Mytilus edulis: one gene and its partner. The protein of the gene in region 2 purifies or fractionates together with the protein of the main gene of each other region. This does not show direct contact. Links are inferred from orthologs where the notes say so. Each region holds a gene or a part of one and is shown on either strand. Other genes may lie near its edges. The genes, in order: protein argonaute-2-like and endoribonuclease Dicer-like.

What was found.
Region 1: the proteins of endoribonuclease Dicer-like (region 2) and protein argonaute-2-like purify together in Drosophila melanogaster (affinity purification with western blotting; 5 studies listed by BioGRID, with this or other methods). This does not show direct contact. The link is inferred for Mytilus edulis from reciprocal best matches to the Drosophila melanogaster genes Dcr-1 and AGO1.

The regions. Positions count from the first base shown.
Region 1 is NC_092355.1:23,866,242-23,876,640, forward strand, and holds the start of protein argonaute-2-like, read right to left. Parts: upstream 4,453-10,399; 5' UTR 4,297-4,452; coding exon 4,281-4,296; intron 1-4,280.
Region 2 is NC_092346.1:84,421,889-84,431,404, reverse strand, and holds the start of endoribonuclease Dicer-like, read right to left. Parts: upstream 4,461-9,516; 5' UTR 4,325-4,460; intron 1-4,324. Other genes in the region: alpha-ketoglutarate-dependent dioxygenase alkB homolog 6-like, read left to right, coding at 4,540-4,566. UniProt on the Drosophila melanogaster protein: Endoribonuclease which functions in microRNA- (miRNA) gene silencing and, independently of its ribonuclease III activity, also acts in the short interfering RNA- (siRNA) gene silencing pathway.

The DNA of each region.
Region 1 (10,399 bases), on a different chromosome or scaffold from region 2:
TGTGACTTGGGTTTATATCCTCAAGGTGTTTTTGTTTGTATAAAAAGCAGATGCAAGTTGCAGCGCAATGTTCCTTTTCAGGTCATTTTTAAACATGCAGTAATTATCATTATAATACACATAGCTTCTTAAGAAACCTATTACATGTAATGGACTTCTTGTTTTTTGCAATTAAGGATGAAATGCATGCATCATTTTAATACCCACATATATATTGTACAGTAGTTAATTCACTTGTACAAATACAAACATCATAATAATTGCGACATACATCGTACTGTAAAAATTGTTTATCAATGCAGTTGTACAATTATAGATTTCATAGTATAAAAATATTCATTTATCATTTGATTTGTATAAACTATTCCATTGTATTCATGCTTGCAAGTAGAATTATACACGTCAGACCAAATAAAATTATATGATTGTGTGGTTCAAGGGATGTATCCTGAAAAAAAGAAGGGATGTAGGTCTGTATTTTTTGGGTGGAGATTATCAAAATCTGGGAAGAAAATCATGTTTCCACCAAAACATGGCTGTACAGGATTTTCACCATTTCCTGTATGTTTAGTTGTAAAATAAATAGGCACTTTAATTGTAAAGCTAATATTGTTAAGTCTGTTCAGAATTGGTTACATTATAAACCGTAGTGGATACTTCTATTTGAAATTCAGATGATGTCATTCAATTTAATGATTGAAATCACATTTCACAGAATCATGAGAGTGGGATTGTTCAAAATTACTTTTTTAAGAAAAAGAACAAAGGTACTATAAACTAGGGCAACGGGGCCTTTTATAGCTGACTATGCGGTATGAGCTTTGCTCTTTGTTGAAGGCCTTACAGTGACTTATACAGTGTTCCAGCTAGGTTTTCAAAAGGGCAGGGTGCCAATCCTGAAAAAGGGCATTTAACGCGCGATATGATAATATGAAAAGGGCATATTTTAATAAAAGATGTTAATCAAACATTTGTGTTTATTCGTTGAATCACAGGTTATACAAGAACAACATCTTTAGCCCATATAGAACTCTATCTTTCTACTTTTAAGGCTGAAAAACTTGTCAAGCAGCTTGTCACACAAGTTTTTTTTATCATTGCTTGGCACAGTTGAACTTTATATGCAGTATGTTTTGAAAGGAGATCTGTTTCATACTGTTTCTATGGTCTACCACATTTTACCAGTTTCACCTTTCTACCCCTGCTGTGCTTGATGGCAATACAGCACAAAACAGCTGTGCTCAGTAAATTCACAATTTTAGGATATAAAGCAACAGTGAAAAATAGTAAAGTAAAGAATACAGAAAAAGATGACCAAGGCACCCTACCAACACTGCTACTAAGACCCTCTTTAACTTTTCCCATAACTCAAAATAAATACCTAAACATATATATTCTTAAGCAAGAAGTATGGAGACACATTTTAGAATATGTAAATGGGTTACTCAATGCTAGGAAAAAAATCAGATTGAGTTATCTTTCTTTATTCGGGTGTGCTCCCTCTTTGGAGGATTATAAACAGTACGTAAATATGATGTAAATATGATCACAATATGGCGGCCGATTTTTTGTTATTTTCGTATCAAAAATGAAGGCAGTCAATGACAAATACGTCTGAATTTTCTGTTTATTTTACAGAAAACCAGTAAAACAATGTCTTCAACGAGTTTATAATGGTTTTCCAACTTTCTGTCATTACGTTTCTTCCATGAAACTACGGTAAACATCGCAAATTGTGCCCAAGTTGTTGTATGCACATTTCTTCAAAGATAATTGCCGACTGACCGATTCTATTTGAACGAATTAATGTTGATGATCATTAATGACCCATCCGATAAACGGATTACCTATAACAACAGATTATGACACCAGTTGTAACCATTGATTAGCTTGGGGTGGTAAACAAAGTCATAATCTTTTCCCCAGGTAAAATTTAGTAATTAGCGTATCATATCAATACGCAAATTAATATGCAATCGATCTTCAAAAAAGGCAGGGCGCCCAGGAAACTGTAAAAAGGGCACAGGGCGCCACTCGGAAAAGGGCGGGCGCCGCGCCCTCTGAAAACGGCCTAGCTGGAACACTGCTTATAGTTGTTAATGTCTGTGTCATTTTGGTCTTTTGTGGATAGTTGTCTCATTGGCAATCATACCACATCTTCTTTTTTATAAGTCTGGTAACTGGAACCATACATTTTTTTTTTCATTTTACAGTAATTCTTATCACAAAGAATTTTTTTTAAAAACTGTTTACATCCAAACTGAATATCCTACATTTGTACATGTAGTAGATCACTTCAAATTTCTGATTTTTTTTTTATTCACATGTATATTCATGTTAATAACATTAGTAATTTAAAAGACTAATTCTTTAAATTTGCATTTAATCTTTAAAGGAAAAATCAGTTCATGTAACAATGATAATAAATATTGATTAGCTTTTTTTCCAGGTATCAGACTCCTCTTTAGGTTCATCATAACCTTTTGGCTAACATGGACGTATTTACACCAACACTTATACTCCGAGTACAGAAAAACCTGTGCACCTGCGAAAATCGGCAGGGCTGGACCTAGACAAATTAATTTTAGATGCATTTTATGTTTCAGAAAATTATAAACTTTTCTGGATTTTGCCTTTTCTTTTTTTTTTTCATTCATGCAGAAGGTGCAAAAATAACTAAGTTGGGAAAACGTTTGAGAAGCTACCCTCAGATAATTGATGTTGTGAGTAATTGATTTAAATGGACAACAGATGGACAATAGACACCTGTAAACATTTACTAAACAATAGGTGATTTAAACTGTGTAACTGAGTGGAATGTATCAAATGAAACTTGTGTGTTTGTTTATTTTGCTATCTTATGCAGACTTGAAAAAAATGCACGTCAAAATCCAGGTTTAATATTCATTAATTTTCTGTAACATACACTTCATATAACTTTTATATACCTACATGTAGGTCCCGCCATGTCTTAAAACTTTCCTAGATGCATTAGTTTGTCTGTACTAATAGTAAATTTGTGGATGTGAAAACAGCCATATTTTTCAATTCCTTCAGATGAACCTTAAAGAATATTGTATTAAAAAGCAAGACATTTATCAAAAGCACACCAGGATCCTTGAAAATAAAACCCAGAATAAATAGTTGGTAAGAACTGACATATTATTTCAGACCAACAACGAACAATTCTTATATTTTCATAAAAAACAACATTCAGCCGATATGCTGATCAGAACAGGTAGCAGATTTAGAAAAGACTGTTCGCAAGAGTTCAAAGATATTTTTGATTTTTTCTGATTTGAAGGAAAAACAACTGTTGCTTTCGCTTGTCATAATATCAAAATCGGTAAAATTTAATGGACCAGAAATTTCTGGAACGTTCGATTTACATTCTCCGGAAATTCGGGTCTGCCAAATTTTACCGATTTTAATATTTTATATTCACCGGAAGTGACGTTTCTTCGGTAATTGTGGAAAATTTCTTTGAAACAAAATAAATACTTGCCCACTTCAAATGGAATCGTATCTTATTTTATCATTTCTTATGGATATTTCTGGAAATATTCTATATCAAATATTCAATAAGCACAAAAAAGGTAGGACTTTGTAATACCGTAAAAAAAATTGAACCAGCAATGAAAATTTCATGTCAAAAAAAGGTCTCAAAATTTGCTCTCAAACTCCAGACGTAAAAAATGGCTTCAGTATTATGACGCCTTAGGAAGGTGTCCCACAAATAAATAAAAATAGCCTTGCCATACGTCATAATTATTTGGACTAGCCCTAACCCTTACCATACACATAAAACAGGTTCAAATTATGCGAGCGTAGAATAATATACAAATCTTCAGAACAGGATCTTCTTAATACATTTCCTTTACTGTTACAGTTAATATGTGGGTTGGACATTAGAATGACAGGGGTAACACCATGCTGTGATTTTGCTTATCAAACAGAACAGTAGCCTCTTTGATCATGTTGATTTACTTCTTTTATAAATCTGATAAACACAGGATAGAAACGTTCTTAAAATCAGAAAAAAAACAGCCTTGAACTCTTGTTTAGTGGCTTTTTCGACCTGACAATCATAAAACGTCATCTTTACGAGAGCAAATTATCAAACATTTTAAAAATCCTTAATTGACCTTTTTAATTTCAACAAAAATCAACATGTTCATAACAAAAGAACATAATAATTCGTGTTTTTTAAAATGGCGTGGGGCAAAGTTCTTTGATTGCTAAACGTTACACAGTTCATTTCACGGAACAAATTGTGGTACCTGGAATTGGAAACATTTTGGCATTGGTATAATTCTCGATACTATTCAAAGCCTAAAAGGCTTTATGAAAAGTTATTTTCTATCTGGCGACTCTTCACTCGCTGTTTCCGAAAGAAAATGGCTGCCGTAGTAAAAAAATTACGCCATCTGGTGAGAATAAATTGATTAGTTTTGTTGTCTCCCCTTTTCGGGTGAGAAAAATAAACGAAGAGTTTTCAATTGCTTATTTTAGATATTAACCATTATTGATCATTATTATTACAGATCATTATATTTTATTTTACATGTACATCTTTGGACATTTTCACGGTTCATCGATTGATTGCTTGATTTACACTGAGAATAGAGATTAGGGGCAAAAATCTTGAGCAAGCAAAAATACAAGGGATAGAATCACTCGGGAGACTTAATTCACATGGACCTCAAAAGTATATATATAGAATATTATCTGACATTCTAAAATATGTAAAAAGATAACAATGGTAAAAAAGTATAAATAATTAAAATTATTATTTAGAAAATGAGTGGCATACAAACTTAAAGAATACAAAAATGAATTACCCCCCCCCCCCCCCCCCCCAAAAAAAAAGTCATTGCCAAAATAAAGATAAATCCAGATGTCTATTACACTAACTACATGTAGCATGATATTCACAGACAAGTGTCTCAGCTACAGATCTGTGACTACTATCATATGTAATAGAAATCCAGCGTAAAAGTACTTTAAATTCAGTCTGAGAATTATAAAAATCGTCACGACGAGTCTTAGAAAAAGACACTACAGTAGGCATTTTGTATTTCTATATCAAGTTTCAACGTTATATATTATTTTATAAACCCAGAAAATGATGTGCATCATCGAGTTTTATAGAGAACTAATTCAATATTAATATTTATCAATATTGATTCCAAAACGAAAGAGATGAATGCATTAATTATTTTTTTCTATTTTCAGTTATAGTTAAACGAGCCAAAGTTGTATGCCTAATTTTACAAAAATCTGTGACATAGCTCATTTGTTGTATTTGGCAACATGCCACTGGAAACCCATCTCAAAAACAGTTGTTGCAATGGAAATTTTCTTATCTATGTTTTTATTAACCGTCCGCGACTCAGTGGCGATGAAGCCCTCGCATGGTCGGAATGGTAATCTGACGCGGTACATAGCCTTGTATTTTTTTCGTATTGAACACTAATAGAATGTATGCTAAACTGACAGCACCAAATACGAAATCCATTTCCGTTTTAATGGCAAATATATGATTAATTGGTTGGTGTTGTTCAACATCCAGTGGCAACTATTTCATAGACGAGACAAGACTAACAATGCATTCAATGATATGTAGGTTCTGCAAAGTGGTTCGATGGGAATGAAAGGCGAGCATTTATACCATTACCGAAAAAATAAGGAAATAGTGGATCAGGACAGAACTTATCCGTCGCAACAGTTAACGCACAGAGAACGGTTGCGCCTATTCCAAGCGATTACTACTGATTATTTAAATCCACACAATAAATTGGACTCAAATAGGAAATAAGAAAATCAATAGAATCACCGAAAGCACTAAATTTTTGAAAAAAATCGGTATTAAAAATATCTTTGAGATTTTTAATAAAACGCCACTAACTCTGTGTTTTTGTTAGATGTATTTCTATTTGTATCTATCTGATGAGTTAAGATGTTTTCAACTGATTTTTATAGTTCGTTCCTATGTTGTACTGTTATACCACTGTCCCGGGTTAGGGGAGGATTGGGATCCCGCTAACATGTTTAAACCCCACCACATTCTGTATGTATGTGCCTGTCCCAAGTCAGGAGCCTGTTATTCAGTGGTTGTCGTTTGTTGATGTGTTATTTATTTGTTTTTCGTTCATTTTTTGTGCATAAATTAGGCCGTTAGTTTTCTGGTATAAATTGTTTTAAATTTGTCATTTCGGGGCATTTTATAGCTAACTATGCGGTATGGGGTTTGCTCATTGTTGAAGGCCGTACGGTGACCTAAAGTTGTAAATTGCTGTGTCAATTGGTCTCTTGTGGAGAGTTGTCTCATTGGCAATCATAACACACGGTTTTAAAAAAAAATATTGAATGAGCTTTACAAATGAACAAAACTTACGAAACTATTCCCCGTACGATTGAGAACAAAATCAAGATGCATCAACCTATGCTGTCTAAACTGATATCAGACCTATTTTTAAAAATCACTTTTATTAATGGAAGTTCACACAACCAAACCATGGAGAACTACCAACTTGTGTTTTGTAAATTGTTTTGTTATATTAATGAGGCTAGTTTCAAATTGTAAAATTGAGAATGGAAATGGGGAATGTGTCAAAGAGACAACAACCCGACCATTGAAAAAACAACAGCAGAAGGTCACTAACAGGTCTTCAATGTAGCGAGACATTCCCGCACCCGGAGGCGTCCTTCACTGGCCCCTAAACAAATATATACTAGTTCAGTGATAATGAACGCCATACTAATTTCCGAATTGTACACAAGAAACTAAAATTAAAAAAATACTAGACTAACAAAGGCCAGAGGCTCCTTGGGACAGGCGCAAAAATGCGGCGGGGTTAAACATGTTTATGAGATCTCAACCCTCCCCCTATACCTCTAGCCAATGTAGAAAAGTAAATGCATAACAATACGCACATTTAAAATTCAATTCAAGAGAAGTCCGAGTCTGATGTCAGAAGATGTAACCAAAGAAAATAAACAAAATGACAATAATACATAAATAACAACAGACTACTAGCAGTTAACTGACATGCCAGCTCCAGACTTCAATTAAACTGATTGAAAGATTATGATTTCATCATATGAATATCAGGCACAATCCTCCCCGTTAGAGGTTTAGTATCATACCATCATAACATATATGAGAAGAACATAACCCGTGTCATGCCAACAACTGGTTTTTTTAATAAATGTGTTTAGTTCCGATGCAAAGACCTTATAAGTGAATCAATATTAACGCCAAAATAAGCAATCTTTAGTGACCTGACAACAGTATCGTAACTATATCCCTTCTTGATAAGTCTATTTAAAGGTTTTGTTAGATTCTGAGGTGAATACTGACATTTTTGTGCTTTATAAAGAATATTTCCATAAAAAATTGGATGTGAAATACCTGAACGTATAAGAAGTCTGCATGTTGAGCTATATTTACGAATGATGTCCTTACACCGATGATAAAATTTAGTAAATGTTTTGACTAGTTTGTGATATCGAAAACCCTGGTGTAATAATTTTTCAGTAATACACAAATTTCTCTCGTTAAAATCTAAAACATTGTTACATACACGAGCGAATCGTACAAGTTGAGATATATAAACACCGTAAGATGGTGACAATGGAACGTCACCATCTAAAAATAGATAATTAACTATAGGAAATGAAAAATCATCTCTTTTATCATAAATTTTAGTATTAAGCTTTCCGTTAGTGATATAGATATCAAGATCGAGGAAAGGGCAGTGGTCATTGTTAGTTTTAGCTTTATTTAAAGTAAGTTCAACAGGATAACTTTCTTTAGTATATATACTGAAGTCGTCATTATTGAGAGCCAAAATGTCATCCAAATATCTAAAAGTATTATTAAATTTGTTTATGAGATGCTGTTTCGATGGGTCTTTGCTGATTTTTGTCATAAATTGTAACTCATAACAATACAAAAACAGGTCCGCAATAAGTGGTGCACAGTTAGTCCCCATTGGAATTCCAATAACCTGACGATATACGGAATCTCCAAAGCGAACAAAAATGTTATCTAGTAAAAATTCAAGGGCATATATAGTATCAAAGCATGTCAAATTGACATAGTTTTTTTTATTGCTACTAAAAAATGACCTAAAAGAGATTGAACATATATATTCGCATTCTGACTTTTTAAATGCCCATTTAATTAGATGGGTGATTTTTTTCTTAATGAGAATGTGAGGCAATGTGGTATACAGGGTAGAAAAATCAAAACTTTGAACAGATTCAAAATCACCAATATAAAAGCATGCAATTTATCAAGTACTTCCAACGAGTTCTTGACACTCCAAAAGTAATTAATTCCACTATTTTCGAAGGCCTTATTTGAACAATTTATAATCAGGTTTTTGATTGTACCAAGTGTACTGGTAAGAAGAATAGACGATTTAGTAGTGGAACAATGGCTTGAAGACGAAATAAATCTATATTTGTAAGGTGTTTTGTGTAGCTTCGGAAGCCAATACATAGTAGGGACTTTCATTGTATTCGGTTCTGCTTGTAAAGCGGTAGCTAAAAGTTTATGTTTGTTACAGATGTCGATTTCTGAAAATGGAGTCAGTTGGAATGTTGGTGAATTGGTAATTTCTTTTTTCAGAACCTCAATGTAAAATTTACGTCAAACAATAATAATATTATTAGCAGCTTTATCGGCCGGGACAAAAACAAATTCCTTGGCTAGTTCTTTTAGTCTATGTTTGATACAAGAAATATGTTTATTGTGGTTATTTTTAATAATAAAATGTTCTTTAAAATGTTGAATACGTATATCAACTATGTTCATTACTGAATTAAAGAAAGAGTCCAAAGATTTTTTGTCAGCTTTTTAAACTGTTTAAGCTGCTGTTGGTTGTTTGGAATCTATGAAATCGCGAATCGCGAAGATTCTGCACGTACCAAAAAGATTGTAGAAATGTGCAGGCTTGGTTCAAACCTTTGAATACAGAAATCATCTAATTACATACATTTTTATAGTAAAAAAAATTAAGGACCAAATGCAAGATCCTCATATGCAATTTTGTTGAGATCTTGTATGCGATAGGAACAGTTTTACTCGTTCTAAAATTGGTCGGTACTTTAGCAAAGAAATAACAGATATGACAACCGATTAAGCCCAGATAAAAGACCACATTCATTCAAGATGTGAAAATAGTTTGTTTTTATGGTGTACTGTTACACTTCTGTCCCTGGTTATGGGGAGGATTAGGATTTCAAACTAGTTTGACCCCGCCTCATTCTGTATGTGCCTGTCCAAAGTCAGTGTAATTCAGTGGTTGTCGATTGTTGATGTATATCATATTTTTTTTCATTCATCATAGAACATACATCGGGCCCTCGTTTGAATTCTTTTACATTTGATACTTTGGGACTTATATTGCTGACTATATGCGACAAGAGTTTTATTCGTTGTTGAAGACCGTACCATGATGATGACGTATAGTTTTTATTTCTTTGTCATTTTGTCTTTTGTGCATGGAGAGTTGTCTCATTAGCAATCATACCACATCTTCTATGCAATAAACTAGATATGAAGATACACTACGAAAATTAAACAATACCTATCGAGGATGAGGAGGACAGTTAGAAATGCACATAGATTTTACAGAGAAGACGACAAAAGATGATCATGAAAAGTTCTTTGGACGCATAAAATTAAGCAAGATCAGAGGGTTATTATTATAATCATAAACGAAATACTACAATTGAGTACATGAGTAATGTATTATGGTGTTTATAAAAGGAGATGAGGGGTTTATGCGGCAATAATAAACAACCAAACGACAAATAAATCAATCAAAAGGCATCTCTGTGCATTCCCCTAATTATATTTTAACAAGAAAAACACGACGGGTATCGTAAATTGGACATGATCTGCTGCATATCCAGGGCTAGACTTGCTACATGTCCCTTCCTAATTATTATTATTTTTTTCAATTTTGCCCCTTTAATAATTTTACTGCTATAACTAGGAGATTACAATTATACTGACATCTGCAGGTCGGTATAAAATGTTATTATACAAGTCCCTTTCTCCAAGGGCAATCAGTAGGCTGGCACTTATCAGTAAACATATCAATTAGTAAGAGAGAAATATTAGAAAGGGAATTGTAGCAAGTCTAATCCAGGGCACTTGTGATCGACCCTATAGTTAAGGTTGGGTTCGATGTTACTCAGTGTCTCTTTTGTAGTGTTTGATGAATTTATTTGTCTTCTCGTCGTCGTCAATTTTCTTTGTTTTGTCAAGACGTTAACATTTTATATCGACTTATGAGTTTCAAGTGCTCCTTGGCTTCTTTTCCCTCTTTTTTAAGATCTTTTCCAAATGGGGCATGGTTTTGTGGAGACGTCTTTTAATATT
Region 2 (9,516 bases):
TCGACGTCAAATTTTTAATTACTCTATTCAACGTCCATTTAGGACACAGAATACACAATTGAACTAAACCGATAGCAGCTGAAACCTTTCCACCTTTAAATATATTATGTCTAACAAAAAAAATCTATCCAAAAAAAAGTATTTTTTTAAAATTTAAAACATACTAGTGTGTAAACAGGTAGTGATCATATCAATTTTTGAAATTTTAGAGATTACATAAAAATAAAGAGAGGTGTTATTATTTCCAATAGGACAACTTTCCACCAGATTTCAAATTAAGTGAATGTGAGCAATTATCATGATTATAGGCAACCGTTTGGCTTTCAACACTGATAAAAACCTTTACCGCAAAGGCTATAAAAGGCCAGGACATAAATAGTGTAAGCAATTCAAATAAGAAAATTAACGGTCTTAATACTCTTATTTATTACAAAACAATTCCGAAAGACCAGTATTGCAGACCAACGACAACCACTGGACTACAGGAACATAGAGAATGTGTCGGTTTTAAACATGTGTGTGTGCACTTAATCTAGAACAGAGGTGTAACAGCACAACATAAAAACATAATGCAGATTTCTTGAGTATATTTTCAGTACAGGGGGTAAAACTCAGAAATTTGTTGAAAATATCTTACAGATGCCGAATTATAATACTCTCAAAACCATTTGCTGTACTTCTTTATTTTGTCAATTGTGGAAGACTAAATAATGCTCCTACATGTAGATGTCATTGGTTTCCTTTGTTGTTTGGTTGCTTTCTAATTGATTTAAAAGATTCTAGATTCAATATTTTATCAAAGTCTCACCACTTATATAACATTAACAGTAAAATTTCATTAGCTTAACTGCTAAAAAATATACAAGCGCCATTCTATTAAGAATTATGAGTGACTACATGCATGTCATTTTTTAATATGATTGACACACTACCCAGTATTATGTACATCAATTGGATTAACTTTTAATCAAGATAAATATTTAAATGCATGTTACCTATTTCTTGTTGAAAAAATTCGATATTGGAAAGTATGTATAAATGTTTGAAAATTTATAGTTGTCATAAGACGTGTACAAAACATGTACAGGTATAAGTGTAAGTCCAGTAATTTATTATTTACTGTAAATTCAGAAATTAATGCAAGGTTTTTATTATTGCGAAAAATTGCGACATAGTTGTAAACGCGATATTTTAAACTCGCATTTTGAAATATTTCATATGAATTAAACAGGATTTTTCTCAAAATTGTAAAAATTAAAATCACATTCAAGTCTAAAATGACAAAATCGCAATAATAAATGCAGGCAATAATTTCTGAATTTACAGTCAGTATTATAAATGATTTTGGGACATCGATTAAAGATGACTACAATAAATTTGAGGTTTTGGCAATATGCAACGTCACATTGGATGTCCATTCATTGCCATTAGATAATCAAAATATTGGCCATTGATTTGAGAATGTAACGTCAGATTTGGACGTCGATTCCACTATTATGTACAGTAGAGAATGAAGGAATACTACAGATTGGACAGTACCTTTAAGTATTTTTTCTTGGAATATAAAGATGTCTTCCCCTTTCAATGATTAAAGAATGTCTTTGATTCATTGTGTACATGAAAGAAACTTTCATAAACTAAGTTTAAAAGATTCCTGTTATTTTGCAAGCACTGATTATAAATTCTTTGTTTAAACAACTATTTATAACAACAACTGAAAAGATATATGACTATCATAAATTCTGTACAAATATCTTTAGTTTTGTCATTATACATGTAGGAGTTCTAGAACATTGAAGCATTGAAAATTTTATTAACAATAGTATTTTCCATACCTGCCAACCTCTTAAACTTTCAAAGAGGGAGATCTATCTCCCACAGCTATGACAGCGGGAGGGTATCGGCAAGCGGGAGATTTCCCGATTTTCGCCATCTGAGTGGGAGTCTCCCGCTCAAAACGGGAGGGTTGGCAGGTATGGTATTTTCTGAATATGATAAAAGTATACAATTGACAGTTTATCATTTATCTAATATAATAAAGTACTATTAAATAATTTAAGTGTTTAGGTAAATCAAAAGCTTGTTTGCTAAAAAAATATATTTAACATAAAAAGACAATTCCGCGGAACCCAGTGTCTCGCCTACTTTTGCTGTTAATCACACACTCATCAAAAATGATGAAAAAAATCAATAAAATTATTCCTCTCAATACTATCTTTTGATTGTCAGAAGCTTCTATCCAAGTTTGGTAAAAATCCAGGCTAGTTTAAGAAACTTAAAAATGTTTAAAACTAAGTCCATCTATAAGTAAAATACGGGAAAAAGGGAATTTTATTTTTACAAAATTTACTTCTGGATACTATCTTCTGATCATAAACAAGCTTCTGGCCAAGTTTCTTACAATTCCAGGATAGTTTAAGAAAGTTATTAAAATTTTAAAAACTTTAACCAGAGTGAATTTAATGTTTCCTGGCAGAAAAAACTAAGTCCATTTATAAGAAAAATACGGAAAAAATGGAATTTTATTTTTACAAAATTTACTTCTGGATACTATATCCTGATCATAAACAAGCTTCTGGCCAAGTTTTGTACATTTCCAGGATAGTTTAAGAAAGTTATTAAAAATTTTAAAACTTTAACCACAGACATTAACAGAGTGAATGTAATGTTTGGCAGAAAAAACTAAGTCCATTTATAAGTAAAATACGGAAAAAATGGAATTTTATTTTTACAAAATTTACTTCTGGGTACTATCTTATGAACATAAACAAGCTTCTGTCCAAGTTTCATACAATTCAAGGATAGTTTAAGAAAGTTATTAAAATTTCAAAAACTTTAACCACAGAGTGAATATATGTGGACGCCGCCGATGACGACGACGACGCTGACGGAATGAAGGATCGCTATGTCTCGCTTTTTCGACTAAAGTCGAAGGCTCGACAAAAATGTTTCTTTATCAAAACAGCGCATCTCACAAATAAAGTCACCCTATAATCGCATGACTGATATTAGTGTTTCATTAGAGACGGAGTAGTTGTTGTTTTTTTTCTATTAACCCTTTCAACGCTATACACGGCATATGCCGCGATGACGTACGCCGTTCGCCACTGCTATTCGCGGCATATGCCGCGATGAAAAAGGATTTTTCATAAGGACTCTTAAACCATTCGGTTTTCATTCGGGTTCTCTCTAATTTTTCCTCGTTTGAATCTAGGATATGCAAGGTCTCATTTGCGCTTGAAATCCCGACAATTTTTATAGTAAAATCATGCAGTAGAAGGAAAATAGAAGGAAAATAAAAACAAATATTTTGACAAATGCAAATGGCGGAAATCGGAAACGAAGCTGTAAATATGGAAAAATTTCAGCATTTCCTTGGCGAAACTTACAACGAGGATTAGTTAAAAGGTTTCTTGTTATCTCATTGTGTTTATTACATAAAATTCGTGTGGGAAATATGATTTGATAGATCATTACGAGACGTAGAAAAAGGGGGGGAAACGGAGGTTGACTGAAATTTTTTAGGACGGAGCTATTTATTTGTGCCACGATTACATAAAACGTTATGTATGGTACAATACGCTACGGAATCGGGCAACTGGTGTCTTCTTTACAATATGGCAGATAAAACAACAAAATAAATGAAGACTAAAAGTAGTTTTTATTCAAAATTCAACACAAATGTAATAAATTACACCTTTTACCTGTTAATTACCTGAAAACGCAGGTAACCTGATAAAAATTTCAGTAAAATAATTGCCTAACATTACAGTTCATGCTCTCCTGAGCATTTTTCATGCAATAACTTTCTCTGTATCTCATATAATAAAAAAGATACAGCAGTCTGAAAAGGAAAATACTGTTCTAATGAATGTACTAAAAAAAAATGCAGCAGCAGCAGCCATTTTTCTATTTTTTTGTGTAGCGTTGAAAGGGTTAACAATAAAAGTTCTAAATCAAAATGAAACGATCCGTGTTAAAGAAAATCTCATGTATAAGTTTTCTGTTTCTGTCTAGCCTCTTCATAATTTTCACAAAATAGTAAATAATGTCCCCCAGTTTCTAATTGAAGTAATTCAGTAATTGACCCCATTCACACTTGGGATCTATATTTAAATTGATTTTGTTTGAGTAATTTCTTAGGTAGTATCCTAATCTTAAATTTCTAATAATTTTTGTTGTTTAATGATCTGGATAATCATAAAACCAATATTTGGATAAAAAAGGGGGGGGGCATTTTTTTCTTTTTTTTCTTAAATTATTTACTGCATGCAATGTTTAAATTTTGCCAAAAAAAAGAAAATACATATTTTCTTATAAAGACCTTTATATAGTGATGGGAATGCGCCTACGTCCGCATCACAATCATAAATTGCAGATGCTTATTTTTGAAATGTTTTCACATTTGTTTCTTCATTTGCCGGAAAATCGTCAAAGTGAAAGAGTGATTTTAATTGGACAGATTTCTAAAATAAGCCAATGAAAATCCTTGACTTATCATATTTACAGAAATTCTAACAGCCAAAACCCACTGAGGAGATGGATACAAAGAATCTTGTGACAGAAGTAATTATCTATTTTTTGATAATTTAGCCACAGGCCAGCTACTTGATGTTTCTTAAAAAATAAGGTTTTGATCTTAATTTCTAAACATAAAATAAAAAAAGGTTTCAATTTTGAGGGATTTTTTTTTATCATAAAGTCAAAATTTTGCCATTGCCATAATATTTGGCATTGACATTAAATAAAAAATTAAAAATTTAATTAAAAAAATTAAAAAATAAAAATTTAGCTATACTGTCTAAATAAAAATTGGATAATGTTAAAACAACAAAATATCGACTATAATTTCAGTTCTCAGCCAGAGTATCAATTACTAGAATTTATTTAATTTGCTGAATAAATGCAAAAGTCCAATACAGCATTATATCATTTTTTTTCAAATGCTCCCTCAATATGGGAAGGAAGGGATAATGCCCTTGAACACATGAATGATGTTCACCTAAACCAAACTGGCAATGGTTTTTTTTTTGCGGAAATACAACGACCTGGATAGTGGTCTAATATAGTTGATTATTTGTTGTTTTAACAGTATCACATTTTTGTCAAGCCTACGACTTTTATGGCAGAAAGCTTGACTTAGGGATAGTGATCAGGCGGCGGAGGCTACTACGGCAGCAGCGGTAGCTAACTTCTTAAAAGCTTTATATTTTAGAAGGTGGAAGACCTGGATGCTTCATACTTTGTATATAGATGCCTCATGTTACAGAGTTTCTGTCTGTCACATGTGAATTGTCCTTGACCTCATTTTCATGGTTCAGTGACTACTTGAAAAAAAAAGTTACGATTTTTTGTAACGTTTATTTCTCTCTTATTATGAGTAAAAGGATAACTATGTTCGGTATGTGCATACCTTGCAAGGTCCTCATGTCAGTCAGACAGTTTTCACTTCACCTCGACCTCATTTCATGGATCGGTGAACAAGGTGAAGTTTTGGTGGTGAAGTCCATATCTCAGATACTATAAGTAAGAGGTCTAATATATTCGATTTTATCATTTATGGGTAGACTGTAAGGTGTACATGTCCAACCGGCAAGAGTCATCTGACCTTGACCTCATTTTTAAGGTTCAGTGGTTATAGTTAAGTTTTTGTTTTGGTCTATTTTTCTTATACTGTATGCAATAGGTCTACTATATTTGGTGTATTGAATGATTGTAATGTGTTTATTTCTAGCTAGCAGGTGTCATCTGACCTTGACCTTATTTTCATGGTTCAGTGGTCAAAGTTAAGTTTTTGAGTTTTGGTCTTGATTTTTCTAATACTAAATGTATATGCAATAGGTCAACTATATTTGGTGTATGGAACTATTTTATGATGTACATGTCAGTCTCGCAGGTGTTATTTGACCTTGACCTCATTTTCAGTGTTCATTGTTAAGTTTTTGTGTTTTGGTCTGTTTTTCTTAAACTGTAAGTAATAGGTCAACTGTATTTGTTGTATGGAAGAATTGTAAGCTGTACATGTCTGCCTGGCATGGTTCATCTGACCTTGACCTCATCTTCATGGTTCATTGCTCAATATTTATTTTTCTTGCTTTTAAAAGTCTGTTTCGTAGAAACTATAAGCAATAGGTCAACTATATTTAAAAGTGTATTGAATTTGAATGATTGTAAGGTGTACATACATGTATTTCTAGTTTGGTTTATATGACCTTGACCTCATTTTCTTGGATCATGTTAAGTTTATGTGATAGTTGTAGTAAAGCTTTATATTTAGGACATAATATCAAAGATAATTAAAGAAGGCGAGACATTTCAGTGTGTGCACTCTTGTTTAAAAACATATTCTTGGTGATAAATAAAAACCTTAACAATCCCCTCTTTGTTTTAACAAATGTTTAAGTTCTTCATCAGTCATGTCAGTATCATGATTTAATGAAAATCACTTTTAATGAACACACTTTAAATAAAAACCACACATATAATTTCGTTCTAATGTGTAAACACATGTTTGTATATGTTCACTGATGAAACAGAAAGTCCAATGTTCAATAAAAATTACTTACTAACTTACATTTGTTGTACTTACTTACTACTGTAAATTTAGAAATTATTGCGTGCATTCATTATTGGGATTTTGCAATTTTAGACCAAAATGCAATTTTAATTTTTGCGATATTCAGAAAAATCCTATTTGATTCATATAAAAAATTTCAAAATGCAATTTTTATACGACCGCAAAAATTAAAATTTTTTCTTCGTATATTGCTATCACGTTGGCGTCATCATCCTGCGTCGTCTTGCGTCTTGCGTCTTGCGTCGTCCGATTACTTTTAGTTTTCTCACTCTAACTTTAGTAAAAGTGAATAGAAATCTATGAAATTTTAACACAAGGTTTATAACCACAAAAGGAAGGTTGGGATTGATTTTGGGAGTTTTGGTCCCAAAATTTTAGGAATTAGGGGCCAAAAAGGGCCCAAATAAGCATTTTCTTGGTTTTCGCACTATAACTTTAGTTTAAGTAAATAGAAATCTATGAAATTTTGACACAAGGTTTATGACCACAAACGGAAGGTTCGGATTGATTTTGGGAGTTTTAGTTCAAACAGTTTAGGAATTAGGGGCCAAAAAGGGCCCAAATAAGCATTATTCTTGGTTTTCGCACAATAACTTTAGTATAAGTAAATAGAAATCAATGAAATTTAAACACAAGGTTTATGACTACAAAAGGAAGGTTGGGATTGATTTTGGGAGTTGAGGTCTGAACAGTTTAGGAATTAGGGGCCAAAAAGGGGCCCAAGTAAGCATTATTCTTGGTTTTCGCACCATAACTTTAGTATAAGTAAATAGAAATCTTTGAAATTTAAACACAAGGTTTATGACCATAAAAGGAAGGTTGGGTTTGATTTTGGGAGTTTTGGTCCCAACAGGTTTTTAGGAATAAGGTGCCCAAAGGGTCCAAAATTGAACTTTGTTTGATTTCATCAAAAATTGAATAGTTGGGGTTCTTTGATATGCCGGATCTAACTGTGTATGTAGATTCTTAATTTTTGGTCCCGTTTTCCAATTGGTCTACATTAAGGTCCAAAGGGTCCAAAATTAAACTTAGTTTGATTTTAACAAAAAATGAATCCTTGGGGTTCTTTGATATTCTGAATCTAAAAATGTACTTAGATTTTTGATTATTGGCCCAGTTTTCAAGTTGGTCCAAATCGGGGTCCAAAATTAAACTTTAAATTGAGAATGGAAATGGGGAATGTGTCAAAGAGACAACAACCCGACCAAATAAAAAACAACAGCAGAGGGTCACCAACAGGTCTTCAATGTAGCGAGAAATTCCCGCACCCGGAGGCGTCCTTCAGCTGGCCCCTAAACAAATATATACTAGTCCAGTGATAATGAACTAATTTCCAAATTGTACACAAGAAACTAAAATTAAAATAATACAAGACTAACAAAGGCCAGAGGCTCCTGACTTGGGACAGGCGCAAAAATGCGGCGGGGTTAAACATGTTTGTGAGATCTCAACCCTCCCCCTATACCTCTAACCAATGTAGAAAAGTAAACGCATATCAATACGCACATTAAAATTCAGTTCAAGAGAAGTTGTTTGATTTCATCAAAAATTGAATAATTGGGGTTCTTTGATATGCCAAATCTAACTGTGTATGTAGATTCTTAATTTTTAGTCCCGTTTTCAAATTGGTCTACATTAAATACCAAAGGGTCCAAAATTAAACTAAGTTTGATTTTAATAAAAATTGAATTCTTTGGCTTTTTTGATATGCTGAATTTAATCATGTACTTAGATTTTTGATAATGGGCCCAGTTTTCAAGTTGGTTCAAATCAGGATCCAAAATTATTATATCAAAAATTGTGCAATAGCAAGAAATTTTCAATTGCACAGTATTCAGCAATAGCAAGAAATCTTCAATTGCACAGTATTGTGCAATAGAAAAAAATGTTCAATTGCACAGTATTGTGCAATAGCAAGAAATCTTCAATTGCACAGTATTGTGCAATAGCAAATATTTTCAATTGCACAGTATTGCGCAATAGCAAGAAATATCAAATTGCACAATATTGTGCAATAGCAAGAAATATTCAATTGATTGGAGTTATCTTTCTTTGTCCAGAATAGTAGTTGAATCAACTTAAATCATTGTTTTATACAATGCACAATGTATATTCACTTTTACTACCAACTGATAAATTAAAACACTCTTTACCATTCAGTGATAACAAGCACTTTTTGTTACATTTTAATATTTTATTATGTATTTAAATGAGTAGTTATTGTTGCAAACTCCATTAGAAATTTGAATTGAGATCAGTTTTGAAAAAAGGGAAAGGGGGATGTGAAAAAAAAATGGTGGGGGGGGGGGGGGTTTATTTTTCTCATTTCAGATTTCATAAATAAAAAGAAAATTTCTTCAAACATTTTTTTGAGAGGATTAATATTCAACAGCATAGTGATTGCTCAAAGACAAAAAAAATATTTTAAGTTCATTAGACCCCATTCATTCTGTGTCCAAAACCTATGCTGTGTCAACTATTTAATCACAATCCAAATTTAGAGCTGAATCCAGCTTGAATGTTGTGTCCATACTTGCCCCAACCGTTCAGGGTTCAACCTATGCGGTCGTATAAAGCTGCGCCCTGCGGAGCATCTGGTTAATTATTGCAATGATTACCCTGTTGCATTTTTCGCAATAATAAAAACATCACAATAATTTCTGAAGTTACAGTATAATGCATTTTTTTATGCCCCACCTACGATAGTAGAGGGGCATTATGTTTTCTGGTCTGTGCGTCTGTTCGTCCGTCCGTCTGTTTGTCCGTCCGTCCGTCCGTCTGTCTGTCTGTTCGTCCGTCTGTCCTGCTTCAGGTTAAAGTTTTTGGTCAAGGTAGTTTTTGATGAAGTTGAAGTCCAATTGACTTCAAACTTGGTACACATGTTCCCTATGATATGATCTTTTTAATTTGAATGCCAAATTAGAGATTTTACCCGAATT